Sus scrofa: one gene and its partners. The protein of the gene in region 4 purifies or fractionates together with the protein of the main gene of each other region. This does not show direct contact. Links are inferred from orthologs where the notes say so. Each region holds a gene or a part of one and is shown on either strand. Other genes may lie near its edges.

Region 1 (7,902 bases), on a different chromosome or scaffold from region 4:
ACTCCGACAGGAGGGCCCCCAGCCGGCCGGCAGCACGGAGGCCGGGGGAGGATGGACTGGCCAAAGGGTGGGGGAGCAAGAGCAGGACAGAGGCTCTACAGTGAGCCGGGAGGGGCTGGCACAGGACGGCGGAGAACCCGGCCCTCATTTAAATGCCGTTTCCGGGAGTTCCCATCGTGGCTCAGGAGTTAACGAATCCGACTAGCAACCATGAGGTTGCGGGTTCGATCCCTGGCCTCGCTCAGTGGGTTAAGGATGCGGCGTTGCCGCGAGCTGTGGTGTAGGTTGCAGACGCGACTCGGATCCTGCAGATTGCCGTGGCTCTGGTGTCGGCCGGGCAACTACAGCTGTGATTCAACCCCTAGCCTGGGAACCTCCATATGCCGCGGGTGCGGCCCTAGAAAAGGCAAAAAGAGAGAGAGTTCAGGGAAGGAATAAATAAATAATTTATAATTTATAAAGAAATACATAATTTCTAAATAATATATCAATCAAGCAATCAGTGCCGTCTCCGCAGGCGCGTTCCGGGCCAACCTCACAAGTAACAGCCTCGCCTGCCGCTTGCTTTTCAGGTCCACGCCGGGCCTCCAGCTGCCTGCAGAGATGAGGCCGGGCTTAGGGAGAAGGAGTACGACTTCCCCCCTCCCCTGAGACACGCCGGAAGGCCGGACGTCAGGCCCGAGGGCGTCTATGACGTCCCCCCAGCCAGCAGCAAGCCCGGGGCCAAGGACCTTCCCCGGAAGCTCACCTGCGAGGCCCCGGGAGCGGCCGACCTGCCGCGAAGACACCCGAGCCTCGCCCTGCCCGCCCCCGCCCCGCAGCCGGCGCCGCCCCTGGGCGCCCAGAGCGACGCCTACGACGTCCCCCGGGGGGCGCAGTTCCTCCAGCCGCCCGCAGAAAGCCGCGAGAAGGCGCAGCTCGAGGAGAGGGACGGGGTGTACGACGTCCCGCTGCACAACCCGCCCGACGCCAAGGGCTCCCAGGACGTGGTGGACGGCATGAACCGCCTGTCTTTCTCCAGCACGGGCAGCACCAGGAGCAACATGTCCACGTCCTCCACCACCTCCAAGGAGTCCTCCCTGTCGGCCTCCCCATCCCAGGACAAAAGGCTCTTCCTGGACCCAGACACGGCCATCGAGAGGCTGCACCGGCTCCAGCAGACCCTGGAGACGGGCGTCTCCAGCCTGATGGCGCTGGTCACCACTGAGTGGCGGTGCTACGGGTACATGGAGCGGCACATCAACGAGCTGCGCACGGCCGTGGACAAGGTGGAGCTGTTCCTGAGGGACTACCTCCACTTCGCCAAGGGCACGGTGGCCAATGCCGCCTGCCTCCCCGAACTCAGCCTCCACCACAAGATGAAGCGGGAGCTCCAGAGGGTGGAGGACTCCCACCAGATTCTGAGCCAGACCAGCCATGACTTAAATGAGTGCAGCTGGTCCCTGAACATACTGGCCATCAACAAGCCCCAAAACAAGTGTGATGACCTGGACCGGTTTGTGATGGTGGCCAAGACGGTGCCGGATGATGCCAAGCAGCTCACCACAACCATCAACACCAACGCAGAAGCGCTCTTCATACCCGGCCCTGGCAGCTCCCAGGGGAAAACTGGGCCCGAGAACACCGAGTACCCTCACACGGGCTCCCAGATGCACCTGCTGCATCCCGGGGACCATAAGACTCCCGGTCTCAACAAGCCATTGCCCCCGAGCCTGGGCAAGGACCAGCCCCCTGACTGTAGCAGCAGTGATGGCTCGGAGAGGAGCTGGATGGATGACTATGACTACGTCCACCTCCAGGTAAAGGAACCAGACTCAGAAAGCAGCAATATTCACGTGCATGGGTTGGGACTAAGGCCTCTAAGGCTGGTGGGCTAGACTGCCCGAGAGAGACCACGATTAGTGATTCAGAAACACAACGGAGGTTCACAGACGGCAGGCAACATCAGACATTAGGAGAAATACTGGCCAGAGAGTCCTGCATCCTCTAGACTTACACGTGACACCGACTGTGTCACCAGCTTACGTACCCCCCCCCCAATTTCCTCATGTGCCGAATGAATGAAGCGCAGGGTTGGATTAGACCTGATTGATACGCCTCAGGCAAGCAGGAGAAGATTCCCTGAGTAGGACAGTGGGCCCTTGAATAATCATACCAGCTCCACTTCTATTTGTAGTTCATGATATGGTTTTGCATATTTAATTTGGGGAAAAAAGCGTGGGGATAGGGGTCTTTCACTGGTAAAAAAATATATATATATTTTGAAAACCTCTGCACTAGAGTTACCTTGAAGACCACTGGTCATTTCCCAGTTGACCTAGAACTTAACCTGCGTATGGGAAATTGGGCCGTCCCAGTCAGTCTTCTAACAAGTGGACATTTCACCAGGTTGACCTGGGATCCTGACAGCTTGCCCTTTTCACTCTGGGGGAGTCACACATTCTATGAAGATCCATTATTTAGAATTTGGCTTACCATCTTATTCGGCTTTTTTTTTTTTTTTTTTTAGGGCCGCACCTGCAGCATATGGAAGCTCCCAGGCCAGGGGTTGAGTTAGAGCTGCAGCTGCAGGCCTACCCCACAGCCACAGCAACTTGGGATCTGAGCTGCCCCTGAAGCTCATGGCAATGCCGGATCCTTAACCCTTAACTGAGCAGGGCCAGAGATCAAACCTGTGTCCTCATGGATAGTAGTCAGGCTAGTTACTGATGAGACACAACAGGAACTTTCCTGCCATTCTTTTAATATGACTGACAGCCACGAGTTATCCTGAGAATTATAGAACAAACTATAGTTCTTTTGGGTTCAGCTGGGGCGAGGAGAGCAGAGCCACACCTCAAGCTAAGAGAAAATGTGGGAGAGAGTAGACGGAGGCCTTAACTCTCTGCCTGGCTGGTTGTCCAGCTCTGCATGGGGGGAATCCTAATTTGCTGTGGAGCTGCAAATGAGCTGAAGACACTGGGAAGGCAACATGGACCACATTCAGACCTACCTTGAGAGGTTTATGGATTTGCAGAGGCTCTCTGAGAAAAGAACCCTGAGAAACAGTGCTGCTGCTGGAGGTCTGAAGGGGATTGGGGTAGCCCTCCAAACATGTAAAGTAGAGCAGAGAGCATGGCGCCCCTCATGGAAATGGATTTAGTTTTCAGTCGTCCTCTACACGGTGACTCTGAAGTCTGGCTGAGAAGCTCGTCCTCCCTGTCTGGGGTGCACAGGGCCTAATCGGGCATGTGGGGAATGGCCAGGGCCGTGGAAATGGAAGAGCATTTATGTGTTTGTCAATGAAATTGTTAGCAGAAGTGAGTCATGGTGATGATGTAATGTTTTCTTTATGTTGAAAAACCATAGGGTAAGGAGGAGTTTGAGAGGCAACAGAAAGAGCTCTTGGAAAAGGAAAACATCATCAAGCAGAACAAGATGCAGCTGGAACACCACCAGGTACGTTCAGTCGGGACCCAGACTACTGGGTATGGAAAAGATTTCCCGCTTAGGAAGGAAGGTATGCCTTCAAAAGATCGTGATTTTGGTCTTTCCTGTATGCAGTGGCATAAGTAAACTCCAAGGCATATAACAGGGTCTGAGAACAAAATGTTTGCGACCTTAGTAACGCAGCTGGGTGTACCTGGACTATGTTGAGGTAGCGGTTTTTCCAGGCTAAGTCTGTACATTGAACATATTCGGACTATTTGGGTTAAAGCGGTTGGTCTCAAGGAGCCAGACCCACTCAAGGTTGCCCTAGCAAACAGGTTTATAGGAAAGCCGTAATCGGAGAATTCAAGAACAAAAAATGAAGATATAGCCACGTCTGAAAGAACTAGGGCTGTCAATCCCTCTCCTTCTTACACTTCCTTTGCTCCTCTCTTTGCTCTATTTTCTGGCAGTTTCCTCTGCTTACCTCCTCATTTGTCTCCTGTAATTTTACAAATGGCCGCTCGATGCCTTTTGTATAGATAGGTTTTTATCTCAGCTTCCTTATCTGATAGTCATCTCCTTTTGTGGGTCATCAAATTCCTAAAAAAGAGAGTCTGGCCATATCTATATCTATCTATCTATCTATCGCTCTCTCTATCTATCTATCCATCTATCTATCTGTCTATCTATCTACCTACCTATGTGTCTCTCCCCTACAAAACAAGCCTCTGGCTTGGCTGTTCTTGGTACACTCTAAGGGCAGGAAGGCAGGATCCAATGTTTTCAAAATATATCCAAGACTATTTATTAAGGGCTTCAGGCAGGGCAATTTCATTCAAAAGTTAGGCATGAGTGGGGCAGATAATGATGGGTATTGCTAGAATAGGGGCATAAAAATAAAGAGAAATGGATTGAGGACTTATCAGCCTTTTTTTCTTCTTTTTTAAAAAAATGTTTAAGGATCCGGTGTTGCCGTGAGCTGTGGTATAGGTCGCAGATGCAGCTTGGGTCTGACGTGTTGCTGTAGCTCTGGCGTAGGCTGGCGGCTACAGCTCCGATTAGACCCCTAGCCTGGGAACCTCCATATGGCATGGGTGTGGCCCTGGAAAAACAAAAAATAAATAAATAAAAATAAAAATTTTAAAATTTATGTTTTGGCTGAGCCTGTGGCATGCGGAAATTCCCAGGCTAGGGATCGAGCTCAAGCCACAGTGGCAATGCCAGATCCTTAACCCACTGCACCACCAGGGAACTCCCCAATGTCTTTTTTTTTTTTTTAAAGTTAATTTACAATGTTCCTTCAGTTGTATAAGCCTTTTAAGATAAGATGAAATGGCATGTAGAGAAATGAAATGGCCACTGAGCTCAGGAAACCAGAGCTCTAACCTTTGCTTTCTGACCAACCAACCATGTGGCCTTAGGCAAGTCACTTAACTTCCTTGAACTTCCATTACTTCTCTATAAAATGAGAAAGTCTGTCTCCCCTCCATCTAAAGAGATGGTATATTTATGAACATATTTGGAAAAGCATAAGCTAAATATCTTGAAGCATCACCCTGTGTGTGTTTACGTTTGCCTTGGCATGTGGCCAAGTAAGACTGCAGGGCTTTAGGGAACTTGTTGAAATCACAGTAATTCCTAAGAAAACAGAGTCGACAGAAAAGAAAAGCTTGCTGTGCATTTCTTGGGGGAGATGCTGTTAACGCTGCTCAGACTCAGCCCTACGTCAGCAGAAGACTGACTGAGTTCTAAACTCCGGTCACTAACTAGTCCTTACCTGTAAAAGAAGAGTCTCTCCAGAGACGTGGTGCCATAGCTGGAAATTATTATCGTTGCAATTTAAATAACACACCAGCTGGGGGCAGTGCAGAGAGAAGGACGAATGCTAATACTCAGAGAGCCTGACTCAGTGAGGTTTTTTTCCCTTTTGACAGCTCGGGGTGGAGGGTGCTAAGTGTTACGATACAGTCAGCATTCAGATTCCCTTAGAGATATTCTTTTCCATAGTGTACATATATTTATATGCATGTCTTCCCTGTACTGCTGGATAATAACATGTATAAATCTGGACAGAAAGAGTAGGAGACAGGATCGGTCCTTTGTCCAAGTGTCTTGCAGGGACAAAGTCAAGACTTTCCTCCAGAAGGAGTCACCCGTCAGCGAGTGACCTGACAAAGAGATCCCCGCATTTGCTTTCCCCTGCCCCCACTCAGTGCTTGATAAAGCTTTTCATAGAGCCTGCATCACACCCGACACTGCTCTAAGCACTTGGCAACTATTAACTCTTTTAACCATCGTAAAGGTGTAGGTAAAATAGCTGGGCTTAAACCCTGGGCTGCCTTCCAGGCTGAGGGCAGGAGAGATCAACCATCCAACCACAGACGTCAGAACCCACAGATTCCTTAGGGATCATCTTTCTCACCTCTGCCTTTTATTTACTTACTTATTTATTTTTATTATTTATTTTGAGGGCCACACCTGCAGCATATGGAGGTTCCCAGGCTACCAGTCGAATTGGAGCTAGAGCTGCCAGCCTAGGCCACAGTCACAGCCACGCCAGATCTGAGCCATGTCTGCGACCTACACCACAGCTCATGGCAACGCTGGATCTTTAACCCACTGAGCGAGGCCAGGGATCGAACCCGCCTCCTCATGGCTACCAGTGGGATTCGTGTCTGCTGCTGGCCATGGGACCTCCCTCCACGGCTACTTTTCACAGGTTAGGAATGCAGGGCAGCTAGACCCGGCTTAGCATCGAATAGGCCCCTGACTCTGCGCAGGGATGCAAATCCCTGCCTTTTAACGGGGAGCCCTGCTGCGTGTCCATGCCAGCCCCCTGCCGCAGCCTGAAGGCCGTCTGCTCTTTTCCTCCCTGCAGCTGAGTCAGTTCCAGCTGCTGGAACAAGAAATCACCAAGCCCGTGGAGAACGACATGTCCAAGTGGAAGCCCTCCCAGAGCCTCCCCACCGCCAGCAGCGGCGCGGGCGCCCAGGACAGGCAGCTGCTGTGCTTCTACTACGACCAGTGCGAGACCCACTACATCTCGCTGCTCAACGCCATCGACGCGCTCTTCAGCTGCGTCAGCTCCGCGCAGCCGCCGCGCATCTTCGTGGCGCACAGCAAGTTCGTTATCCTCAGCGCGCACAAACTGGTGTTCATCGGGGACACGCTGACGCGGCAGGTGGCCGCCCAGGACATCCGCAACAAAGTCATGAACTCCAGCAACCAGCTCTGCGAGCAGCTCAAGACGATCGTGTTGGCCACCAAGACGGCCGCGCTGCACTACCCCAGCACCCCGGCGCTGCAGGAGATGGTCCACCACGTGACCGACCTGTCCCGCCACGCGCAGCTCTTCAAGCGCTCGCTGCTGGAGATGGCCACGTTCTGAGACGGCCCGGGGGGCAGCGGGCCGCCGCGGACACCTGGACGCGGGCTCTGGTTTTGGTAAAGCGTCTCTATTTTTGTAGATATTTGATACGAAAATGAACTTTTGTTAACATTCTGTGGGTTAGCCAATATTCAGAAATTCAGGGAGCTCCCGGGGAGACTTTCTTTTCTTTGCTTATGCACACACCTGAGCATCTGAGTTGGAGAGTGTACAGAATCTCGTCTGCGTGCGTGGGTAGGACTGTGTCTTCGTGTCCGTTTGTCTCATACATTCCATTAAAAACCAGAAGTAAGACGCACCTTGGGAGGCACCTCCCAATGCTGCTTTTTTTTTTTTTTTCTTTTTCTATGAAACATACCAGCTGATTGTAATTGCTACATGTACTCGTGATTATTCTGAGCCTGTCACTCCCCGGTCTGGGACACATATCTGCAGGTGTTCACTTTCCAGTAAGGTGGCATGGGATGCCTTGTTTCTGTTTTTGAAACCCCTTCCTAATTTGGCCGTCTTGGGCACATTATGGCAAGATGCCTCATGTCTGGCTGAAAAAGCCCTCTGAGAGGGGACGTTGCAGTGAGTATATGCTAATCCAAACTCTGATGTGTTCAGTGCTGAAGGAGTGACGCATGTATTTAGAGGCCACGTCCGCAGTTAGGGCTGGGAGGTGTCAGCACGGACAGGATGCTGTCCCAGTAAAAGGAGAGCACGTGTTTCCCCGGGGCTTTTTGCTCATCGGCCTTCGGGAGTGATTGGGCCAGATTTTCCAGAAGATGTTTTTAGATTTGTAAAAATCATGATTTGCAGCAGGAATTCACAAAGACACGTCCACAAAAAGAAGGATGCTCCCATCTGCCAGTTGTCGGTGGACACCTTTCTGACTCGTGACATTCCCTTAGGTGCTACTACCCCCATCAGCCGAGGGAAGCTGGCCACCTGAACGTCAGAGCCACCAGGCCACATCCTGCTCTAAGGGAACCAGTGCTTGATCCTCTACCCTCCATAAAATGTGCATGTGCAGACTCGACACTCAGAACAGCTGTATGGAACCCATCCAGGCTTTACAGCTGTCTGGCCAATGACCCTGTCTCCAAGCTCGTCACAGC
Region 2 (8,403 bases), on a different chromosome or scaffold from region 4:
AGACTTTGGGACAAAGCTAGGTGATGCTGGGCAAGTCACTTCCCTTCTCTTAGGGCTAAAAGGATTAAATTAAGAGAGCAATGTCTAAGCATAGTGCCCGGCACAGGTAAGCGCACAACCGATGGCTATTAAAATGGTAATCAAGAGTTATGTCAGCAGGGATGGAGAAGTGTACAGAAAAAAAAAAAAATGATGGTGCCAATGGGTTTTGGTGGAAGATTAGACTTGGGATGGTGGTTAGCAAGGAGTCAAGGACGCCACCCAAGTTTCTCGCAGAGCAAGTGGATGTTCAATGGCATCGTCTACTGAGCAGATGTGGGATGAGGAAGAGAAGAATAAAGAGGAGTTTAACTCTGGGTGTGGTGGGTTTGTGATGACGGGGAGACAGTCAAGTAGAGATGGCCAGCTAAAAACTGCATTTGCAAGTCTGGAGTTCCGAACACATCTCTGAGATGGAAATTTAACTCGGTAGTGACAGCATCCAAATGACAACTGAAGCCAGGAGAATAGACAGGATCTCCACGGAGGAGAAAAGAGCCCAGAGCATAGCCACCGTATCTAAAAAGGAGCTTCAACCTTTAAGAATTGGATAAAGAGGGTCAGTTTGGCAAAGAAAATTTGAAACGACCAAAAAAGGAGAAAAGTCAGGCATACATGGTATCATTCAAGACTAGAGGAAGGTGCTTCAAGAAAGAGTGAGTGGTCCATTATGATCAAGCAGTGAAGAAATAAAATAAGGAATGAAAACGACACCTCTGAATTTAGTGACACCTGGGCGACACTGGTGCCTTTCTGAGAATAGCTTTGGTGAAACGGCAAAGTAGGTTTCAGACTGGAGCCCACTGAGAAGGAGGCAGCAGAAATGGAGACAGTATTCGCAGTCACGAAAAAGTTTAGCCCAAAGAAAAAGAGAAAGCACAGTGAGAAGGAAGGGGTCTGACAATGAGGGAGAATTTTATTAAAAAGGAAGGATGTTTAAACACTGATGGAAAGGAAGCGGTGGAGGGAAAAGTTGAAGATTCATGGCAGAAAGGGGAAGAAGGCCCTAAATGGGCAGGAGAGAACATGTTCCAGAGCACAGCGTGCAGAGTTAGCCCAGTGATAAGGGGCACCTCATCCACTCTACGAATTCCAAAGAAAAACGAAATGAACCACACAAACTTGGGAATGTGGTTGCAGTGTGTGCAGATAGCTATCCCAAATAGCTTCATTTTCTTTGTGAAGGAGAAGGCAAGGTCATCCACTAAGACTGAACGGGTGGATGAACTTTTTTTTGGATTAACTTTTATTATCACTATCTAATCCAGTGCCAGGGACACAAATATCTAATTTAAAAAGCTTATTTAACAAATAAAATGAAAACAAGCAGTTTCTTAAATTCAGTTCTTTACAATCAATACACAACTTTCTCCAGGTTAACCACCAGGGGGCAGTGCTGCCACCAATCTTTTCCCCTAAATCTTCTAACCCAGAGAAAATAGAAAATTATAGGGCAGTAAATGTCATAAAATACGTTTTCCTCAAGAAGACACAGCTTCACCTTTTTATACATGTACATGTGTGTGTGTTCACCCACGTGCAGAGCATGCACATACTCATATACCCGCATATTCTGGCGTGACGGGAGGGCTGTTCCTTCTGCCAGCCTCCCACCGCAACCTTACTATGATGCCCCGGGGGCAATACTCACCATTTCCAGAGGTCACTTTCTGTAATCCCTCCAGAGCACACAGTAAATACTGAATAGACCTTTTACTCTTTCTTCTAATCAATAAATTGGAAAAGACACTGATTTCTTAGACACAGAATTCCCTAAAGCTAATCCTGCTAACATTTGCCATAGCTTCTTTCAAGTTATTTTTTCACCCCGACACCTACCTCCGCCTCAAATTAGAGGCAGGTTTTTAAATTAATTTTAAGCAGGTGTAATCTATTTCATAAGCTGCTTTCCCCCTTATTTCAGATGCTTGATACATTCTTACAATGAAGATTTATCAATCTCTAATACCACATGGCCATTATATATAGCAGAATAAGCAGCCATTGGGGGGCGGGGGGTGTTTTGCAACGGGGTTAGGAAATACTTCTTTCCTAGTTTGGGCCTGATGACCTTGGGCCTCTGCTGAACAGAGGGAGCTGGAAGAGTTCTAACTTAAAGCAAGACATTCTCAAGACCCTCAAAGAAAAGAAGATGCCAGGGAAGACTGTTCCCCAAGAGTTCAGGATCAAACAAATCAGCTCAGGTTCAACTAAGGGAACTGAACTTCCACAGGAGGGGCAATTTCCAATCATACCAATGACTCTAGCCTAAGAAAAGCTGCTGCTAGTTTGGTCTTATGGGATAAAGCTGCGAGGGGGGTGGGAAAAGGCTGAGGTCATCTTATGACTGCAGGGTGTCAAGTACTTCAAATGGGGGGAAAGGTGCTTGACCCTAAAGCCTCCACACTTGGTTATTTTGAGCTAAAGTTGCTTGGGAACGAAAATACCCATGAAGTGGACCATAAAGAGTCTAGGTGATTGAGCTGAAGCAGTCCTCAGTCAATGTAGATACAGTGGCAAACTGTTTCAGAAACGAAGTTTCAAGGTTGTTTAGGATGGGGTTCTAATTTAACAACTAAGAACATATTTTTATTGGATGCTTTATTCCACTGGCCAGGATGGTATGACACTTTAACTGATGGTTTTCAGAAGCTCTTTGGGGCCAAAGGATTTTGGTTTGGTTTTATATTCGTAAAAATACTAATAGCAAATTACTCTTCCTTAACCTCCCAATAGAAAGATTCACTTTTCCGAATGAACCCATAGAACCCTCCAGAGAAGTTTCTTAGTAATCAGAGTTCTTTGGCTACACAGACATCTCTGAAAATGAGCTTTAAAACCAAGATGAACACCTCATTGTCTCACCCCTACTATATTTAAAATCTATGTCTACTTTCAAATGTCATGCGCTAAATCCTTAGGTTTTCCCCCCAGCAAACGATCTAAATAAGAGCCTGATTTCATTTACATACACACTGGCTCGCTCTCCCCAACAACAACACTTCCTTTGAAAAACAGAATGTCACTTCCTCAATCCAGAGGCCAGAAGTCCCTCGGTTCTGATCTGGGGAGCCAAGACAGGAAACTCTGGTAAGCTTCTGCCTCTCCCCTCATGGAAAGCCACTGGTGCAGCTGACAGAGGGCAGGGTCTATTCCGAGCTCCCCTGATGCACTGCAGCTGGAAGGCAACAGCTCACTTCCAGGCTGTGGGAATGATCCCAGAGAGCCCGGCACCACGAGTCGGTTTAACAAGGACATATCAAAGGAAGGGACGAGGAGAGGGTGGCAAACTGGGACACCTTTTAGCTACCTTGCTTGCGTTTCCAGACTCAGGCGAACAGCCCAGGACTGATTTCAGCCAAATCTCAGGGACTGGCCCCATCTCGTACTCTGACCCCACCAAGCAGGACATCTTCAGGTGGAAGGGGAAAAAAAAGCCAGACCTCCTCACCGCTCCCACCGGGCTGTACCACCTTCCCCACGATACTGCCAGCCTCTCACCGAGAAGGGAGAGGCTGCCCCAGCAATTTCAGTAAACACGTCGCTTAGCACCACCTGGCAACTGAGAACCTTGATCTCTCCCGACCCCAGACGCCGAGGACCGCACAACACAAAACCCGGGCCAGTTGTAGCCGACCAAACTGCAGTGTCACTATCGTGGGGTGGTTGGGGAGGGGAGGAACGGGGGGATCCATGTGAGAGACAGACAGAATAAAGGGAAAGAAGGGGGACAAACAAATGAGTCACTTAATACAAGGGCTGCACATGCCGCTGACGCTGCCCGTGATGCAGAGGCTGTGGACTGGAAGGAAGCAGGCGGCCACCGGGAGGGGCGGGCAGAGAAAGGCAAGGGGGAAAGGGTGTGAGGCGCCTCGCCCTTTGTGGGGCCAGGCGGCGGGGCCCCGTAGCCTACGCCCCCCTTTCCTACTCGCTCCCCCAAGCCCGCGGGCTGAAGCCGCTCGGGGTTACTACGGTCCCCCGGCCCCGGGAATCAACTCTTTCCGGCTCCGAAAACAATCAATACAAACTTCAATAGTGCCTTTAGTTTGCAGGGAGGCTGGCTAGGGAGGCGCCGCCGCCGCGCCCGCCCCGCGGAGAGGGAGCCGCAGCCTCAACCTGGCCGGCCGCCCGCCCCGCCCCTCGGCGGCGCACCTGTGACAGGTGTGCAGGTACCCCGCACAGCCCCGAGCCGCCCCGAGGCCCGCCCTCCCCGCCGGCGCCGGCCCCCCGGAGCCCGCAGCCCTCCCGCAGGCCGCAGGGCGCCCCCCGCCCGCGCCCTCGGCGGCCGCACCCGCTCTCGCCCGCACTCACATAGCGCCTCAACTTCTTCTCGGGGGGCGATTTCCTCAGCCAGCCCGTGCACACCACGTCGCCGCCGCCGCTCATGCTGCCGGCCGCCTGGAGCCCGCCGCGGGGTCGACGGACAAGGGCGCGGGCGCGGGCGGCTGGGTCAGTCGGCCGGCGGTGCGCAGCTCGCGGGGGAGGGAGGGCCGGGGCAGCCGGCGGCCGCGGGGCGAGGACGAGCGGCGCGGCGCGGGCCCGGCCGCCTGCGCGCTCCCGCTCTCCCCGCGCGCGCCGGCGCGCTCTCCCGGCGGGGCCGCGGCGGGGGCCCCGGCAGGAAGGGCGGCGCGCTCGCCACGCCCACAGCCCGCCGCGCCCCCGGGCGGGCTGTCTTCAAAGACGCAAACAGCGCCTGGCGTCTTCGGTTCCCAGAGGCCCGAGGCTCGCGAGGAGGCCGGCCGCACCCCCCCGGGTCTGGCTTTTTTCTCCCCCCGCCCTGAAGCCTCGAGGGGGCAGCGGGGGCGGCGGCCGCGCCCCTGGTGGGAATGGAGGTGGGGCGATGGGAAGGGACTGCGCGGCCTCGATCGCGAATCGATTTTTCACAGAGGGTCGTCGGGAAGAGACCCAAGGGCTGCTCCCGCTTCCTATCCTTCCCTGAGTTTCAGGTTTCAGTGGGTCAGGTTCTGGCTGAAATTAGTGATGCGCTTCCCAGCAAGAGTTCCATTAACTCTCTCGCCCCCTTGATGGGCGAAGGAAAGACGGAAACTACTGGGTGCTGGGCCCTTTGATAATCCTTGCTTAGATGACTGTCAGAGATCTACAACTTGGGCGGTGTTATTCCCATTTCACAGACAGCCTAAGGTCCCCAAGCCGGTGCAGTGCAGTCCGGTTTCTAATTCTGGGGGCGGGGGCAGGTGGGGGGGGTCCTGCTCTTCTGCTATTTAAGGTGGTAGAATTGTTTAACGTCTGCAGATGAACTTGGGGTCCTCTTATTACCAAGAAAGTCCAGCTGGCTCCCCCCTTGCCTCTGGGAAAAAGCAATTCAATAGAAAATTCTAGGGATTTGCAGAGTCAAGGAAGCCAAAGTGAGTCAATGTTCTATTTCATAGTGAATTGTAAGGCAAGGTGAAATTGGGGTCAAAATTCCCCGGACCTTCAACTCATTGACACAGGTTATGAGAACTCTCTGGAGCGCATATGACACAGCTACCTCTCTTACTGCGTTGCAGTGAGGTTTATTTAACTAAGATCGAACACGTGGACGCACACACCTGACAAACCCAGCACTTCAGGTGGAGAGGAGAGGGGAAAAAAACAAAGCCAAAACCCCAGAAACCTTTGGTAGGGGCTCTTTTCAAGTCAGAAAATGTCTTTACAAGCAGCATTAAAAGGTAGGTCCTCAAAAAGAATGACATATATGTACGACTGAGTCACTTTGCTGTACAGCAGAAACTGACACAACATTGAAAATCAACTATACTTTAATAAAACACAAAAAATTAAAAGGTAGGTCCTCCCCCAACTTCTTTGAAAAGTGGGTAGTAACCCACTACATCAATAGGGAAGCGCTGCAGGCAGATGAGTAGAACCAGCAGCATCTTGCACTCCCCATGACAAATTGAAGGCCACTTTGATCATTTCTCTATCTCCGGGCAGCAAAGCTATTGTTTTCAAGTAGTTGGACATCCTTCTGATTTATAGACCTTGGGTGGGTTGGGGAAAGCTCAACCCTGTCAGTTTGTAAAAGCTAATTCTTTATCGAATGCTTAACTCTTCTAAGCACTCTGGGGGGGTTTGGAGATCAGCAACTCTGGACCTAATATTTCACTTTCTTCACTATCCAGTGTGCTGCTGGATTGCATGTAAATCCAGAACAATCAGGCTACAGCTGGGATCAGAGCTCCTTAGCCTTCCAACTGAGGGATCCTTAAGCCTCATACAAGGACTACCACCAGAATTGTAGCCATTTTAACCTCTGGCTTTAAGTACCTTAAAACCCTGTGAGACAAATATCAAAATACTCAAAGCCTGCCAAATCAATCAGGAGGCGGTGACTCCCAACAAAAATAAAGCAATCTTCTGACTTCATTCACATCTGAGTCATGATGCCAAGTCTCAGGGATTGCGGAGTCTGAGAAATCTGCATGGTTTGTTCACAGCCGAGGTGTGTGACGCAAGTCAGGCATACACAGGCCCTATTTTTCCCTAGAAATGCAGTCTTCTATTACGTATCTTTTAATAGTTAGATGATTCCAGATAGACTGGGGGACTATTCAGCAACGGTTAGTTGGGAGTGGGGCTGCACTGCTGCCAGAAATTCTTTAGGGTCTTATTTTGTCTAGCAAAGTCCCCCCCCCCATGTTGTTATTTACAATTCCATGTGGAAACAGAAATTTGATGTTTTCAGGCCAATGACAGGAGGGGACTTGAAATAGTACAGTTACATAGTATCAGCTTCAGAAGTCTTCTCTGAACATACCCCTCCAAGAAGCGGCTCTTCTTGGTGCTCTCCCCATCTCCCAACCTTTTCCAGTACTAAGCGGCCAGCACAGACTGTACAAGGGAGGGGGGAATGCTGCTGAGGTCCCTGGCTGCACCTCCCTGTGGCTCAGTCTTCTGAGACTGAGGTTCGTGCAAGGCCTGGAAACAGCCTTTGGACAGAACGTTCCTGTCTGGACCTTTACTAAGTCCTCTCCATTCCCTGGTTGTTGTTGTTGTTGTTGTTGTTTTAAATAATGCTCCCTGATTTTCACTGGGGAAAAATGGAACACAAATTGAGTGATTTATTTATGCGAAGATCGGCGCCATCTATCGGAACCAGTTGGGACGACAGCTTTCTCCCCTCCCTCCCAAAGGACATGCATCACTAGTCTCTAATTTAGGCAATTTTGATTAAAGACCACTGGTATTTCCTGAGGGAATTAATGACCGGATGCTAGGAGCTCTTTGGGCCATTAATTCTACATTCTCGTTAAATCCCCAGGAAATGGCCCGTTGTATGAGGGTTTCTTCGGGGGGAGCACTGCAAAACTAGAGAAATGCACACCTGGGAGGAAAGCCTGGGCACCACGGTTTGCCCTGCCCCTCCCCCCACAGAGCCCGCCCTGTGGCTTAGAGGGTCGTCAGCGGCAGCCTGCCTGCGTGCCTGTCTGGGAGTTGAGGGTTTGTGGCTGGTGGCAGGTGCATGGCTGGTGGAACGCTCCCAGGAATGAGTTGGAAGCGCTGCAAGGAGAGCTGTCCTCAACTGAACACCAGGCTGAGTGATTAATACCGCCCACACCAAGCCTGACGTCAGTGATCAGACTGGGGGTGGGGATGGATGTTTGTGTCCTAGCCCTTCTGCCTTTTCTCCCTTTCAATTGAGTTGACAGGTTCATTTCAGAGCTGAGTGCTGCTTACCAAGGTCAGTATGACCAGCTGGGCCACCTCGGCTGGTGACTTTCAGGACACTTGTCTCTCAGGCATCGAGGATGCCTTTTTAATCCCTGGGTGCTTTTAGCCCATTTGATTCCCTCCATCAAATTACTTGGACCTAATCAACTTTTGGCATCTGGATGGGATGGAGATCTGGAAGTGGGCTCGGGCTGTGGCTGGAGACCTAATTGGGTTTCCTCCCTGTCTCAGGCTCCTAACACTCTGGGGTTGCCTGATACTACGCCCAGTGGGAGACATTTTGGAAATAAACTTCCTTAAAAAGAAAGGTTTGAGCAAGTGCTCCCCAGTTTCTCCGTTGTAACTTGTGCTATTTGTTTGGGGGCAGCTAGGCTCTTGAGATAATTCTGCTGACAATGGTGGGGGTGGCGACATCACTGTAGTCACAGATCATGCTGCAAAATCGGTTATCATATTCTCCCAAGAACAAAGACCACCAGGGTCCCTGGGAAAGTGTCTTAGGAGTCCAAAGCCTCCTTTGCATGATGACCCTTTTCTTTCTAAGAGAACGCTGGCCTTGATTTCGGTCTTGCACATACATCAAGACCCCTTTCCCTAAAACGCACCAGCCCCAAGCCCCAACACAGTCGCTCATTCTTTCCTTAGACTCACCTTGCACCTATATAAATTAGGTGAACGCACTGTACCGCG
Region 3 (7,902 bases), on a different chromosome or scaffold from region 4:
GCAATCCCTAGAGTCTTCTTTAATTATATCCAGCATGTTTCGGTACTGCCTGCTACTACCAAATGGTAAATCTTAAAATAAATACTCTTACATATTTTGAATGGATATCACTTTTCTGTTGGGATCCTAAAGATCCTGAGGCTTGGCCTTACTTGACCAGCCACTGCCCAACTAAAGGTTAACAGTTCCCAGGGAAATTCCTGATTCTTGCCTCACCAAGTCTCAGGAAATGTCGGGGTTGAATGCATTTTTCAATATTTGCTTAGACTCACACATGGTACCTTTCTTGCCACAAGCTATAGCACAGATCACATATGTGGCTCAGATCCCATGTTGCTGTGGCTGCGGCATAGGCTGCAGCTCCAACTCCAATTCTACCCCTAACCTGGGAACTTCCACATGCCACAGATGTAGTCGTAAAAAGAAAAGAAAAAAATTCGGATACTCAATAATGTAGCACTCCTAACATTAATTAATAATATAAGCTACCAAACTGCTTTTAAAATTAGCCTATGGAAAACTATTATTTTACCATGGATAAGGCTAGCAAAAGAACTACCAATTAGAGGCCAAATAAAAACTAAAAACAAAAAACTGGCTTATTTACCCCAGAGACATGTGGAGATAATGAAACAGATTTGTTTTGTAGTGTTTTGATATTACTGACAAAAATATTCTAAATTTTTTGCAAGGTGGCCTTGATAACTTCTAGGCCACGTAAGTGATTCAGAATGAACATTTAATAAATTGAACAGGTTAACATTATCAAATACCATTCATCGTTGTTACAGTGGATTTGTTAATGGATATCTTTTAAAAGTTTAATCTAACTGGTGCCAGAATAGTTTCCAGAGAGAATTGAGAACCCTTTGTAGGACTTTAAAAACTGGAGGAATTTCCCAAGAAATACACATCTCTTGGAGCCAGAATATATTTAAACAAAAAGTATGGGGATAGAGGTTAACTTACATATTCAACTATTTAAGAATTGCATTTATAAGAGTTATGCTTGATTTCATATCTCTTTGTAGTTAAAGTATTCTTTGAAAATAAGTTTATATTTATAAAGAGCTTTAATGTATTTTATTTCATTTATTCTTTCCAACAATATCTAAGGTGGCTGTTGTGGTACTGATTTTTGAGATGAAAACTAAGGTTCTAAGGCCTTAACGAACTGTGATAGAATAAGGGTATGAATCTAAATTCAGTGCTCTTTCCACCGTATTTTACAACAATCAAACTTCCTACTATGTAGGGAAGTTGAACAACACTTTGTTGTTCACTTGTTACTTTAATAGAATAAAGTTACCTATAATAAATGCATCATTATATTTGTTCCTTACCTCTCAAATATTATATGCAGCCAATTTAGAAACAAACATATCTCAATCCCTCAGCCCAAGCCCCTATGTTTGTCTCTAAAATGCCCGCTAAGAAGGTGAAGTTGTTTTCTAAATAATATCACTTCTAAAAAGTAAAAAATACTGAAAACCTAAATGACTCCCAGGATTGTTAAATTTAATAAACTTTAGGAATGGAAATTAAGAAAAAGCAATGCTGTGCATATTTGTACTACCAGCACAATTTTGGTTATGGATGTATATTAAAATTTTTACTGATTTTATAATCTCAGTAATAAGAGAGATAAAAAAAAAAAAGAAACAAAGGAGAAAAAAGATTTTTAGACCCTAATGATCATGATTTACCACTACTTTTAGTCTTAATTTTGCCACTAACTGGGTAAATTTAGCTCAGTAACTTCATTTATAACTGGTTATAAAGTTTAAAAACAACATATGTAAACGTGGTAGAAAAAAATATAAAATTTCAAACTAAAACAAAGTGAAAGTATTTTAAATCAGAAGAAGATGAACTCTGATAATGCGGAGGTCTTTTGTTGTTAGTCTGATTTCTATTTTAGGCACAATGACCTGTGCAGCGAAGAAAAATCAGCCTGAACAGGAAAATAAAAGTGATAGGCAAGTTCATATTTCTTACCTGCGTACATATGGTATGTGAGCCTCTCTATAAGTTTAATAACAGTTCCTGCTTTGATAATTGGAATTCCAGCTTTGGGCTGCATGTTTTCTTCAAATATGATATTTTCTTCAGAGTCAGGCTCTGCAAATCTATAAACATCAGCACTAGGAAGCCTCATCTGCTCCTCCTTTTCTTCCTGTAGCATTGTCACATCAAGCATCCTTTCCAGTGTACTCCGGTACTGTAAAGATATCAACGCTGCCATCCAATTGTTTTTCTCTTCAGCTGACTTGGCAGAAAATATTACACTATTTTCATCTTTTAAAATTATTTCAAAAGCATGCTTGTACTCACTGGTGTCATCTTTGTCATTAATTTGTACCTTTCTCATAAAAAACTTTTCTTTAAGACGATATTCTGCATTGCTAGCACCAGGAAGTCTTGGCTGCCCATGATTTGATTTACAGCAAATCATTAAGCCATCAAAGAGAAATATGTGTCTCTCATGTTTGGCTCCTACACGTGTAAGAGTTCCTTCCATTATAAACTCATTGCAACACTGTCCAATGTCTTTTCCCTCCCAACCATCAATATTCTTCTGAATCTCGTTCATTTTCTTGATTGCTAGTTGTTTCCCCTTCATTTGTTGACTATAAAACCGACATGCAGATTCACTGGGATAAAGGAAAAAACAGTTAGTACACAGAAGACAGGGAATCTATAATTCATGTAAATAAATGGAAATGCAAAAGTATATTTAAAAACATTGCATTGAGAAGGTTTTCACTAATTCTCCAAATATGTTAGTGTTAACAGAACTGCACAATTTTGGAAACTAAATCAATACCGTAGAGACATTTTTTTTTTTTAGTGCTTTAAAAAGAACAGTTGGCTATTGACAAAATTCTCCCCTATAAATTTAGCTACAGAATGATTATTTCTACTACGGCTATTAAATACTTAGAATGACAAATATTAAAAAAGTAGCCCAATATAGTGAAAAAAAAAAAGAGATTAAAGTAATTTAAGAGATTAAAAATTATCTAGGAATGCTTAAGTGGACAATATCTAAAAGCTAAAAAACATGCACACATAATAACTAGGAAACTGGAAGTATATTATCTGAATTAATGCCTTGAGTTACAAAGTCCCTAAAATAAAGAACACTACTAATTTTATTTTCAGAGATTGACATAAACCTACCCAATACATTGTATTTCTCCTTTAGCTTACCAGCTGATTCTCAGGAGGTCTTGTCTGGGAGTATGCAAGGAAAATGCACAAATATGAAAGGTTTTTCAAACAATAACAAATTCTCTTGGCTTTGATGTCACTTCCTTTGAAAGACCAAGCTTGTCACTAACACTATTTTCTTCATTGTTTACTTGAGTAGGGACTAGGATCCCTTAATTTATACCACAATATTCAGGGTGAAAAGGAAGATAATTTAAAAAGTGAAATTATTCACCTCAGTCTTCGTTTTGCAAGACTTTTAGAACATATTTTTTCCATACCACTCTGAACATTAAGCAAAGCTGTTATTGCTTGTTTCAAACATTCCTTGTCTTCTTGATCTTCACTCTTCTCTTCTAACTGCTGCAAAGTAAAAAATGACAAATCTGAACAAGCAGAACAGTTCTGTACAAAAAAATAAGCCTATTTTATTTAAGGATAAAGATAACATTGATTCAACTCTTTCTACTGTAATACATTTTAAACGTCATAAAATATACTACTCTTTTAAAAAGTCTTCCTATGTATTACTATCCAAATCAACATCCCACCAAGTTTTCCATGTTAAAAAAAAAAAGGAGTAGAAACAGTGTTAAAAGACATCATATCTTGTGATAGGGAGTAATGTGCAGTTTCTCAGATGCATACTACCAAAAAGAAATGAGGAGGAAAAATTATCTTTTAACTATCATAGGACGTGGCACAGAAGTAAACACACAGGTGAGTCTTTTTTGAAGTGTGTAATTTGCTCTTAGAATTCTGATTCCCACACTACTGCTGTAAGCAATGGGATGCTATGCAAGATAAATATACAGAGAATGAAGCAACATAGTGGAGAGGAACCTGAAGACACAAAACCTAAGATAAAATTCAACTCACTTTCGGTGTGATCTTTCAGGAAAATTATATGACTTCTGAGCCTCATATTTCTTATATGTCAAATGAGGCTTATAAAAAGCTTCCCCAATCTATTTTATGGCGTTGTTATTAAAAATGAAAGCATTCTGTAAATGTACAGTGTAAGTTGTTTTCTTTGCAGTTCTACTACATAATTAATGTTACTATCATGAAGAACCTTGTCAATATTCATATGTTAAGATTTTGAATAAAACTAGGATCATACATGTTAGTAAAACTCAAGCACGTTTTCAATCAGTGGCTAAATATATTACATACGCTGGACAGAAGAGTCTGTTTTTAACAAGGACTGAGTCATCAATAATGGCTAATTATCATTGCGACAAGGTGGTGGTAATTCAAAAAAGCAATTGAGTTATGAATGACAATAGGTGACAATAATTCAGTAACCTTATAAATCTGTTTGTGGCTACCAAAAAGGAAAAGTTAAGAAACTAACATATTTTTTCTGGCCATGCCTGAATGTGGAAGTTCCCAGGTCAGGGAGCGAACTCACGCCACAGTAGTGACAACACTGGATCTTTAACCTGCTGTACCACCAGGGAACTCCAAGAAGTAACATTTATTAATAAAGCTTTCATACAACATTTAAGAACAGTTACTGTCTATCATAAAGAAAAAGACTTGAGAAAATCATAAAAAATTCAAATTTACAAAGGCTTACTTTTCAATGAGCTTCATTATTCATTAGTACTTTTTGTTCTTGAGAGTTCTTTTTTTTTTTTTTCCTGTCTTTTTAGGGCTGCACCTGCCGCATACAGAGATTCCCAGGCTAAGGGTGAAATCGGAGCTATAGCTGCAGGGCTACGCCACAGTCACAGCCACATGTGATCTGAGCCCACCTGTGACCTACACCACAGCTCATGGCAACGCCAGATCCTTAACCCAGTGAATGAGGCCAGGGATTGAACTGGGGTCCTCATGAATGTCAGTCAGGTTCGCTAATTGCTGAGCCATTACAGGAACTCCGAGAGTTATTTCTTAAAGAATAATAACACATTTCTTTTTTGCTTGAACTGATACAGATTAGTTATATATACACATACATATGATGTATATTGATGACCTATGAAAAGTAAACATATTCTTACTCAATGCTCCAAACCATTTTTACAAAAATAACTTATTTAAAAAAATGGTTTTTTTTTTTTTTTTTTTTTTTTTGGCTTTTTAAAGCCACACCCATGGCATATGGAAGTTCCCAGGCTAGGGGCTGAGTCAGAACTACAGCTGCCAGTCTACGCCACACCTTAGCAACTCGGGATCCGAGCCTCATCTGTGACCTACATCATAGCTCATGGCAATGCTGGATCCCTGACCCACTGAGCAAGGGCAGGGATCAAACCTGCATCCTCATAGATATGAGTTGGATTCATTTCCACTGTACCTCAAGGGAACTCCTTAAAATATCCTAATACTCAAATATTCTAGAAGTAATAAATACCATATTATATCTATTTAATTCTCAGGTTTTATTATCCAAATATCTTATATCCATTATTTAAAACTCACCATGCTTTCCACTATAACAATAATCTGCACTCTTTAGAAAAATATTCAGTCTCAACTGTGTTAAGTAAAACAAAAACCCATTCACAATAATTTCCAACATAAAAGGGGGTGTGTGTATGTGAGACAGATTCCAAAGGATAAGAGACTTAAAAACAGACACATTTAAAAAAACACGTCAATATCTTTTACTCAAAATATTTTTCTTCACTATGGCCAGCTAGATTAAAGAAAGCCAAAGGCCATATTATTCATAAAGAAAGATACTAGGTTTTTACTTAATGGATACCTATCTGCCTCTCATATGGCAGAATTTCTGGAATGAAATGAAATGCTACCATTAACTTTAAAAGGTTTAGGTTTCAAAGGCAGCAGTCAATCTAACACTGATAGCAATATTAAGAAAGGGCAAAATTCTAAATGATGTAGTGAAAGCACCATTAAAGAGTGAACTATTTCACTGAATTTTTTTCAGAATTTAATCACTCAGTATTCAAGTGGATATCAAGTAATTTTTTAAGTCCTGAGTTGACACAAACAGTAGAATATTACTGAATCCTTTATATTTTGACCTTTGATATTTTTTACATTATTAATTCAGCCACACATACCTAAACTTATACGTAAACACAATTCTCTTTTTTTTTTCCTTTTGTCTTTTTAGGGCTGCACCTGCGGCATATGGAAGTTCCCAGGCTAGGGGACTAACTGGAGCTGTAACTGCCGGCCTACACCACAGCTCACAGCAATGCCAGATCCTTAACTTGCTGATGCAAGGATCGAACTTGCATCCTCATGGATACTAGCTAGGTCTGTTATCTCTGAGCCTCAACAGGAACTTCCACAGAACACAATTCTAACACACATAAAAATAACTGTGAAAGTAACAAATCCATTTAGACATGCATTTGACTTTCTATTCTAAAAATGTTTCAAGTTTCTGGGTCATTTGTCTACCATTAACTATAGAGAATTTCACATATAGAATATACTGGTATCTCAAAAATATTTTTAATGTATTTTAAAATCACATACCTAAAATCTACTTCAAAAACTGTAAAACTTTACTGTTGAGAAGATTGTTTTTAAATGTAATATTTACCTACATAGCATTAGTTAATCATCTAAGACAAACTTCAATGTAATAAATGACCTTTCATATAAACATCTTTGCTTCTTTTACTTAACACAGCTGATTTAAACTGGGTATTGATGCTGAGTGATTCAAGCTAACTATTATCAAAAAGAGTGGCTTAGGAGTTCCCGTCGTGGCGCAGTGGTTAACGAATCCGACTAGGAACCATGAGGTTGCGGGTTCGGTCCCTGCCCTTGCTCAGTGGGTTAAGGACCAGGCGTTAGCATGAGCTGTGGTGTAGGTTGCAGACACGGATCCCGCGTTGCTGCGGCTCTGGTGTAGGCCGGCAGCTACAGCTCCGATTCGACCCCTAGCCTGGGAACCTCCATATGCCGCAGGAGCGGCCAAAGAAATAGCAAAAAGACAAAAAAAAAAAAAAAAAAAAAAAAAGAGTGGCTTATTATTGTTACAGAAACAAAGCAGTGGCAATTAGTATATAAATGAAACTCCTTTTGTTACCAGTGATATTCAACACCATGCTTTTCATAGGTGCCTACTTAACGACATTATGTATTAACAACTTAATTTTACAAACCCAATTAGTTTTATTAGTTTATGAAATTATATTTAAACTCATCCAGAGTATCATATTCTAAATCACAATGGTAAGTCATATGATCTAAACAGATGATAAAATTTACACTTTCAAAAGAAAGGAGCCACTTCTACCAGATTTTTTTTGAGAGAGTCCTTTAGAAATATGTAGAAGGAGCAATAGTCAATATGGTATATTGCATGTCCAAAGAAAATTCTGAAAGATAAATAGGATTAAATTTAAGAAGCTGTGAACTGCGATCCTTTTTACAACCAGTCACAAAAGATCACAAAAGGCCAAATAAATGTATGATTCCATTTACATGAATGTCCAGAATAGGCAAATCTATAGAGAGAAAGTAAGGCAGGGGTAGTTGTTGGGAGATTTGAGGGGTGTCTCTAAGCGGTACAGGGTTTCTTTTGGGGATAATAGAAATGCTCTGAAATTGGTTGCATTGATGGTTGCACAAATCTTTGAACTTATTAAAGGCCAATGAATTGCACACATTTTAAATGAGTGAATTGTTTAGTGTGTCGATAAAGTTTTTAAATAAAGTTGTTAAACGTTTCAATAAAGTTGTTAAAGCATGTTA
Region 4 (7,509 bases):
CCATGGAAACAAGGGTCTGATGCTGGGACCAATAACGTAAAATGGAATACAAAAATAAAAAGGCACTGATCTGTTAAGAAAGACACTCCATGTATTCTAAGAATATAAGTCATTTAATACTGTTAATTTTATAGCACAAAATAAAACAAGCTATGATCCCCAAAAATAATTTTAAAAGCTTACACAGAAAATATTATTGCCTGAAGTTTATGATCTTTAAGTTACAGGTCAAGAGAGTTTTGTGTTGTTGTCGTTTTAAAACACACAGTGAAGACCGTTGAGAAGCAAGGCCACTGTTCCTCCTGCAGAGACCACTGCCCTGTCTCAGAAGACTGTCCTTTTACTTGGTTAGAACGCATGCCCAGCTCAGGGACCCGACAGCAGTTACAGGGACGCAGACCTCTGGTCCCAGAGGCTGGAAGCTGAGGGAGAGCTCAGTGGTGTCTTGGGTGAGGTGTTAAAACAATCAAGGATTCACTCATTTTTAAGAGGTTAATGAACATAATATTATTAAAGGATTAAATTATAAACACCTGGCACAAAAACACATCATCCCTTTTCAAAAATAAAATGTTCCTCTGGGCAAACACTACATGAGCCATGGCGGTGGCCCGAATCCGCCTGGCCTGCACACAGCTGGGGGAGAAGTCAACACAGTGCCAGCTGCCTGGGCTCCAGGACAGAGCATAGGAAGTGTCCCATGTGGGTGACAAGTTGTCAAGTGACAGCCAATGCCTTCTTTTCTCCGTTACCTGTCATCACGTGGCACCACGCTGGGTAGAGGTGATAAGGATGACTCCTGTGCTGGAGATCCTTCTCAGGATAAGTTTTTAGTCAAACTGTCAATACTCTTTCATCCATGTTTTGTTCTTTTCCCAAGAGAGTTAATTTAACATCCTTGTATTTTCTTCACTGACACACAGGGGAACAGAGCAGTAGCCACAATGAACAATCCTAGAGAGGAAAGAAGCCCACCAGGAGGGAGGGCAGAGCTCTGGAAGATTCCAGTCCCCTCTGAAGCAGTCTTCCAGACCCTAGGGGCCCAGGCCCAAAGCCAAGGCAGGGTGCTGTATTTTTGTCTATTTAGTGTGGGGAAAAAAAAAAAAAAAATTCCCCTGCTTTATGAAAAAACTACTCAGGTGCTAAGTGGAAAGGGTCCTACTTCTGGCACACAGCCAAGAGTTCAGAACCCAGGGCTCGCCTCATCTCAGGCTCCGAACCTCCTGGCAGCCCTGGAGAATGTGCAGCGGCTGAAATACCGAGTAGACCCAGGTCTGTGGGGGCTCGGACTCTGGCTGAAAGGAAACCTTGCTTCCAATATGGCCATATACTTCTTACACTTGAGCCAACTACTGTCACTAACAGCTGCCCAGCATCTCAGCGAAATCTAGTGTGTGGCCTTAGGGTGTGTGCCCTCTTTGAACAAGGCACACAGTCCACATTCTGTATTCAGACCTGGTCACTTTCAGGCAGAGCACAGGGACCCTGCCACCCATGTGCCACCTGTCGTGGGGCTGGGCTGGCTGGACTCAGAATGGAAGGCAGCCACAATGGACATGCACCTTCTAGGCAGGAGGCAGCCACAGTTCTCACTAATCAGCAACAGCCCACAAAATGGACCGTGATATCTGAACACTCTCAAGATCCTTCAATATGATGGTTACCTCCCTGATGGAACACTTGATTCAAGAGAGTGAGAAACGCTTACCCTGTTGGTCCTATCACCAGAGTAACTGCTCTAACCTAAAAACTGGAGGCCCCCGGGAGCCAGGGCCATGGCTATAGCCACAATCAGTGGCTACCCCACCCCAGCTCCACTGTGTTCACTCCAGGCTGAGGCCTGTCCTGACCAGTGCCCAGAAGGGCAGGCAGAGCCAACAGCACCAAGTTTCCAGAATTCCAGTCCACGAACGGCCACACACTTGGACCAGCTGGCTTGTCTGAAAAGGTCTCCTTAACCAACAGGTAAACCTTAACATCAGACTGGCAAGTGAGTACTGATGCATCTGATGTCTCAACCATAAGATGTCAAATATATCAATTAATGTCTAGGGCCTGCATTTTCTTTGCTTGACAACATCTTGGACACAGGAGGGCTGGGACCAGCATTAGCAGCACTATCTTTCTTGGTCAGCCTGGTGAACTGCGCTGGGCAGGAGAGTGAACTGCAATCAGGGCACTGAGTGGAACTGTAAGATCCATTAACAAATTCAATGACTTTTTAGAGAAATTAGGGTCCTATACTTCAAAGGGGTACATGCGCTGGAAGGCTGGACAGAAAGCCAGCCAGGTGTCCTCCTGTCACTGGCAAACAAGGTGAACCACCCCCAACTCTGATGCCTTTGAGGACAATGTCATGCAAGAGGCTGTGCACACAGCCTGCAGTGCTGCGGCTGCTGTTTGGTTTGCTATCTGGCAGCACAAGATACTACCGGCAACCGAGACAATGAAGGCGCCTCTTCAGAGTTATCTTCCTCATACTGCGGCTTCAGTTTAGAAGCTCAGGCACGTGTCATCCCTTGTATCATCACAAAAATCTAACCTGCTACTTAAAAACCTGTTCAGGACACACAGTCTGATTAATTAAGTCTTCCAAAACCAAACCAAAGAGCAAAGGGAAAAAAAGAAAAGCCAAGCCACATGTGGGGAGTTTAGGGCAGAATTCTCTCTCCTGTAAGGTCCACTTCCTCCGCTCTTCAAGGAAAACCATGCTGGCGACTGGGCCCTGTGCCATGGCTCACAGGGGGCAATGCTGGCCACAGGCTTGAGCTCGTGCAGGACGGGTGGTCAGCCCCAGGGACAGGCAGGGCACTAGCCAGAAGGAAGCCCTGTCCTCACCCCCCTCTCTCACTTGTGTGCCTCCACCAGTGTTTCCAGTTCAGATCCAAAGAACTCTAGAATCGTCTACTGACAACACGACTATGATACAAATGCTGGGCAGCCACCGTGAGCATTCCAATGTGTGTGAGGCTACCCGCTGCAGAAGCTGGATGATGGCAGTGCGTGGCCTGCCGCGAGGACACTTTCCCACCTCCAAGGAAAGCAGGACAACAAAGCAGCAGGCTGGGGCGGTGGCGTCACTCATTCTCATCAGGGTTCTGGGGGTCGATGATTTTGACGTGTGTGAAGGGGAAGAGCCCTTTGCGCCCATTCACCTCACCTTCCCACTGGCCGTTTATGTTCATCCGTGTGACTTTGACAATGTCACCGACCTGCAAGGGGGAGAAAAGACAAAGTCAGCATTTTCTCCAAAAACTAAATCACACACACTGTTCCATTTGTTCTTAGGACCCACTCATTCTTCTCAGTGCTTAAACCTGAAATCAGGCCATACCGAAGACACCAGGAACTACCAATAAGCCCAGGGTGCTTCTCAGCCCAGGATGCGCTCTGAGGCAGAGCTCGGTCTTTGCTCTCCCGGCTACTAGCTCCAATGGGACAGAATGAGCCCATGACTCTCCAAGAACAGTTCAACGCACACAAAAAGTGCACTAAAGAAAAGACCCATCTCCCCCTAATTTACATGGGAAGGGACTGCTGCCACCAACACCACATCTGGCCTGCTGCCTCCCTACCCAGCAGTGTGGACCCAGCTGTGGCAGTCCCAGGGGAAGGAATTCCACCTACTGTTAGAGGACAGGCACCAGGCAGGGGGTCTCTGCTCCTCAAGTGGCCATAGCAACTCTGACGAGTGTGGTTTTCAAATTGTCTGTGGAGACCCCAGAGATCTAAGGAAGTACTTTAAAGGTCCAACGAATGTCCTGCTGGGACTCGAATTTTTTAATTGTTTTATTAAAGTTTTAACCCAAAGCACAGTCAAGTGTGCTCCCACATTATCCTAAGCTGCCCTGCTCACTGCTGTTCACGTACACTTTCCTTCGAATGAAACTCTGTCTCATGTGTCTGACTGAAGGCTCACCCAAAAGTGCAAGGTCAAGGGTAAAAGATACCCCTCACCACTTGCAACAAAGAGCCTTCAGAAAGGAGCTAGCTGCTGGGGTTGACCAAGACTGCAGCTACCAGCTGCACTTTTTGTAATGCTTTCTGCCCACTGTCACAGTCCCCATCCCAATTGCCTCCCTAAGTTAGTCCTGTAAATCTCATCTTACATACACTGGGGTTCCATGCACGGTTTCATTTGGAAAGACGCATCTCCTGCCAAAGCTACTGGGCTAGCAAGCTGACTGCTGGCCTGATGTGACCAAGAACCCCAGAGCTGCCAGAGCAGCCCGACAAGTCCACCAGGTCCAGTGGGCCTGTGGACGTGCCTTCACTGAGAAGCTGGGCCCCGGGGGAGCCACACCGGCCTTTCCAGGTGGACTGCTGAGCCACTGCACGCTGAGGAAAAGGAGGATGCTTTCCGAGGCGGATCCAGAGGAGGGAGGCTATCTTTGAAGCATTCGTTTGAATGATTTCAAATATAGGGCTCAAGAAGAAGTGCCAAAATCTAGCCATCTTGTTTAAATAAACACAAGGTATCTAAGGTGAGGAAGAGCTCAACAGAGAACTGAACTCTAGACTCTAACACAGCTTGTGGTCCATTTGTAAGAAAGCACCAGTGAACAGCTCCTTGTGGGGGAGGAGGGCAGGAGACACATGGCTTAGATGAATGTACGGCTCCACACGGTAGCAGAAGCAATGTCCACTGAGTTGTACATTGGCAAGTTCGTCCTGACCTGAGCACATGGAAAGGGCTCAGGCTGGGGAGATACCCCAAGAGGATGGAGAGGAAATGCGCTCCAGCTGCAGTGTGGGCCTGGTGTCCAGTCAGTGGATACTGTGAGTCAGGAATCTGCCTGCAGGGCCCTTTCAGACTCGCTTTCACTCCCAATTCTCAACACACCTGTTGCCTGTAAGGCAGGCTGGAGCCCTCTCCAAGATCACGGGCTGGTCGGCCAGAGAGCAGGGGTACAAGGCCAGACAGCACTCATCCTGGCCACCGTTGTCCCTGCCACCCTGAACGGTGCCAGAGTGGCCTGGCCCATCTGCACCGAGCACCACTCGACTGCCCTGCTCCCCACCGAGCCACCCTCTGCCCCTGATGTCCTATCTCGAACTCCCCACTCTCCTCCCCACCCTGTACCTGCTCATCTCATCACTACTAGCTCATGGAACCAATAAATACCAAGTGTCTTGTAACCGCCCCTCCAACCCCCAACCCACTGAGAAAGTCACTGCTTCTGTGCAGAAAGCAGCGCTGTCACCAGATGGAACCTTTCACCTTGTGGAAACTGGGCTATTCGGGAGTATGTGACAAGATGACAATGGAAAAAAGAACTCTATCCCCTGAAGCTCCATACTTAGAACACAGTATAGTATAAATTCCGTTTTAAAAAAAAAGAGTTCCTGATGTGGCGCATCAGAAATGAATCCAACTAGAATCCATGAAGATGGGGGTTCGATCCCTGGCCTTGGTTCAGTGGGTCGGGGATCTGGCGTTGCCATGAGCTATGGTGTAGGTCACAGATGCAGCTCAGATCCCCTGCTGCTATGGCTGTGGTGTAGGCTGGCAGCTGTAGCTGACTCGACCCCTAGCCTGGGAACTTCCATATGCCAGGTGTGGCCATAAAAAGCAAAAACAAAGACATACATACACACATACAAGAAAAGGCAAGGACAAGTAAGAGCATGTGTGGGTGCCTGCCTATAGGAAGTTTCTATGAACTAGGGGGAGGGGCCAGACAAGCTAGTGACAATCCAGCTGGACCCTTCAGTAAAAGGGGTGATGGTCCGTGGTCACCCAAGCAGCATGTAGGTAGGCCTGCACTCAGAGGCAGATCCCACAATGACAAGATATTTAAAAAGAATAGCTGTGACAAAAAGGAAACAAAGCTATGGCTGTCTGCAGCTGATAGGAGCTGTTGGCAGGTGTCAGGACCAGTGGCTTCTCCCCAAGACTGAGGTTTTGGTTTGCCCCACTCATGTGGACTAAGATCAGTACCTAAAAAAGATACTTTGGGAATTTCTCAAAGTATAGGTCTTTTATCTATGCCTTTTCTATCTTCAATTGGACTTTAAATGCACAAAGAGTGTACATCTTGCCTCAAGTTTGTAATCTGAGGTAGACTTAGCTGATAGTTGAGAAATGTAGAAGAAAAGTCTCACCTTCCTAAAAACCTGGTCCTTGGCAGCCCTCTCCCATGTCCTGGAGGCCAGGAACAAGCTCTGACCTCCTGCTGACAACCCCACCTCTGGGCCCCCAGCCTCAACCAGCCTGGCCACCTTCCCGCCTCCGCAGCCCAATCAGCCCAACTCCCAACACCCTCCTCTCCCACAGCCTGACCCCTACCTACCACACTGGCTACTGCTCCCACCATTTCACCAAGGAATTCCCCGGCCCAGGCCAAGGGCCAGGGCCAGTCCTTGACCACTGATGCTCCACGGCACCCGAAGCAGGAGACTTCCCCTCCCTCTGCTGCCCCACCTTCTTTTTGTGATGTTCTGTAAAATCACCTGCCAGGTTTGTGGACAGCAAAGGCAGGTGCCTTGTGGTGCCCTAAGCTCTGACAGACAGGCCCAAGGAGGCTACTTTCCTGCTCCTCCTGCCCCCTCACCCCCAGCAGCACTCTCTGAAGGAGGGAGCCGGCTGTGTTCCATGTCACAGGTCTCTCGCAAACTACTTTCCAGGAAGTCTGCAGAATCAAGGAAAGGAGAGAAAAAACCTAAGGCTGCCATCCTGCAAATGCTGGAGACAGATGGCCAAGCAGAACAGCAAGGTTCTCAGAAGAGAAGTGACAGGCATGAGGGCCTAAGGACAGCAGAGGACAACACTTTTAAATATATACACAGAATTGGGTCACTACTGTTTCTGACCCCCTAACACCATTTCCCTGCACAAGAGCAACATCCAAAAGCCTGTCTCCAAGACTCTGCCCCGTCAGCTCCTGACTCCTCTCATCTCTGCCCTCACTTCATGCCTCTCTGCCCATGCCCACAGTCCCACCGGCTTCCTTTCAATTGTTCAAATTTGCCAGACTCATCCCCAGATCCAGACTCTACATGAGACCCAAGGACATGCAGTGCTGGAAATGTGATTACATAACTTCACAACTTATAATGCTAAAAATCACGCTCCAGGCTATTGCCCAGAATTGCCAAGCTGATCCTAAGAAACTTTGGGCCTCTGCTCGTCTTTCACAGTTGAAGACACACAAGCAACCTTGACGACCACAGGACAACCCCTGCCCCCTCAGAAGCACCCATCAAATTGCATATGCCCACAATGTGCAGAAAGGGCCTCCAGGCGGCAGCCACTGTGTGCACAGGACACACCTAAAACTAAGATCCAAGACCTGCAACCACAGGATGTGAGCAATCTCGCCTGTCTGCTTAAAGCAGGTGTTAAGGTGGGGCCTGTGGTGATTCATGCTATGACCTTTGGAGTGGGGAAGGGCTGACAAGAGTCCTGGTTCTGCCACTTTTAGTGGCTACATAACTGTGACAAACTACTCAAGTTGCCCAAGTCTCAGTTTCCTTTGACTTTGAAAGATTCTTGCAATAATTAAAGGA

What was found.
Region 1: the proteins of CRKL (region 4) and NEDD9 purify together in Homo sapiens (affinity purification with western blotting; 4 studies listed by BioGRID). This does not show direct contact. The link is inferred for Sus scrofa from reciprocal best matches to the Homo sapiens genes CRKL and NEDD9.
Region 2: the proteins of CRKL (region 4) and GAB2 purify together in Homo sapiens (affinity purification with western blotting; 3 studies listed by BioGRID). This does not show direct contact. The link is inferred for Sus scrofa from reciprocal best matches to the Homo sapiens genes CRKL and GAB2.
Region 3: the proteins of CRKL (region 4) and SOS1 purify together in Homo sapiens (affinity purification with mass spectrometry; 3 studies listed by BioGRID and IntAct, with this or other methods). This does not show direct contact. The link is inferred for Sus scrofa from reciprocal best matches to the Homo sapiens genes CRKL and SOS1.

The regions. Positions count from the first base shown.
Region 1 is NC_010449.5:7,807,690-7,815,591, reverse strand, and holds part of NEDD9 (enhancer of filamentation 1), read left to right. Parts: intron 1-572; coding exon 573-1,799; intron 1,800-3,348; coding exon 3,349-3,438; intron 3,439-6,289; coding exon 6,290-6,799; 3' UTR 6,800-7,902. UniProt on the Homo sapiens protein: Scaffolding protein which plays a central coordinating role for tyrosine-kinase-based signaling related to cell adhesion. As a focal adhesion protein, plays a role in embryonic fibroblast migration.
Region 2 is NC_010451.4:12,846,829-12,855,231, forward strand, and holds the start of GAB2 (GRB2-associated-binding protein 2), read right to left. Parts: upstream 4,596-8,403; 5' UTR 4,426-4,595; coding exon 4,351-4,425; intron 1-4,350. UniProt on the Homo sapiens protein: Adapter protein which acts downstream of several membrane receptors including cytokine, antigen, hormone, cell matrix and growth factor receptors to regulate multiple signaling pathways.
Region 3 is NC_010445.4:101,318,513-101,326,414, reverse strand, and holds part of SOS1 (son of sevenless homolog 1), read right to left. Parts: intron 3,577-7,902; coding exon 3,449-3,576; intron 2,655-3,448; coding exon 1,999-2,654; intron 1-1,998.
Region 4 is NC_010456.5:50,551,103-50,558,611, reverse strand, and holds part of CRKL (crk-like protein), read right to left. Parts: intron 3,213-7,509; coding exon 3,078-3,212; 3' UTR 1-3,077. UniProt on the Homo sapiens protein: May mediate the transduction of intracellular signals.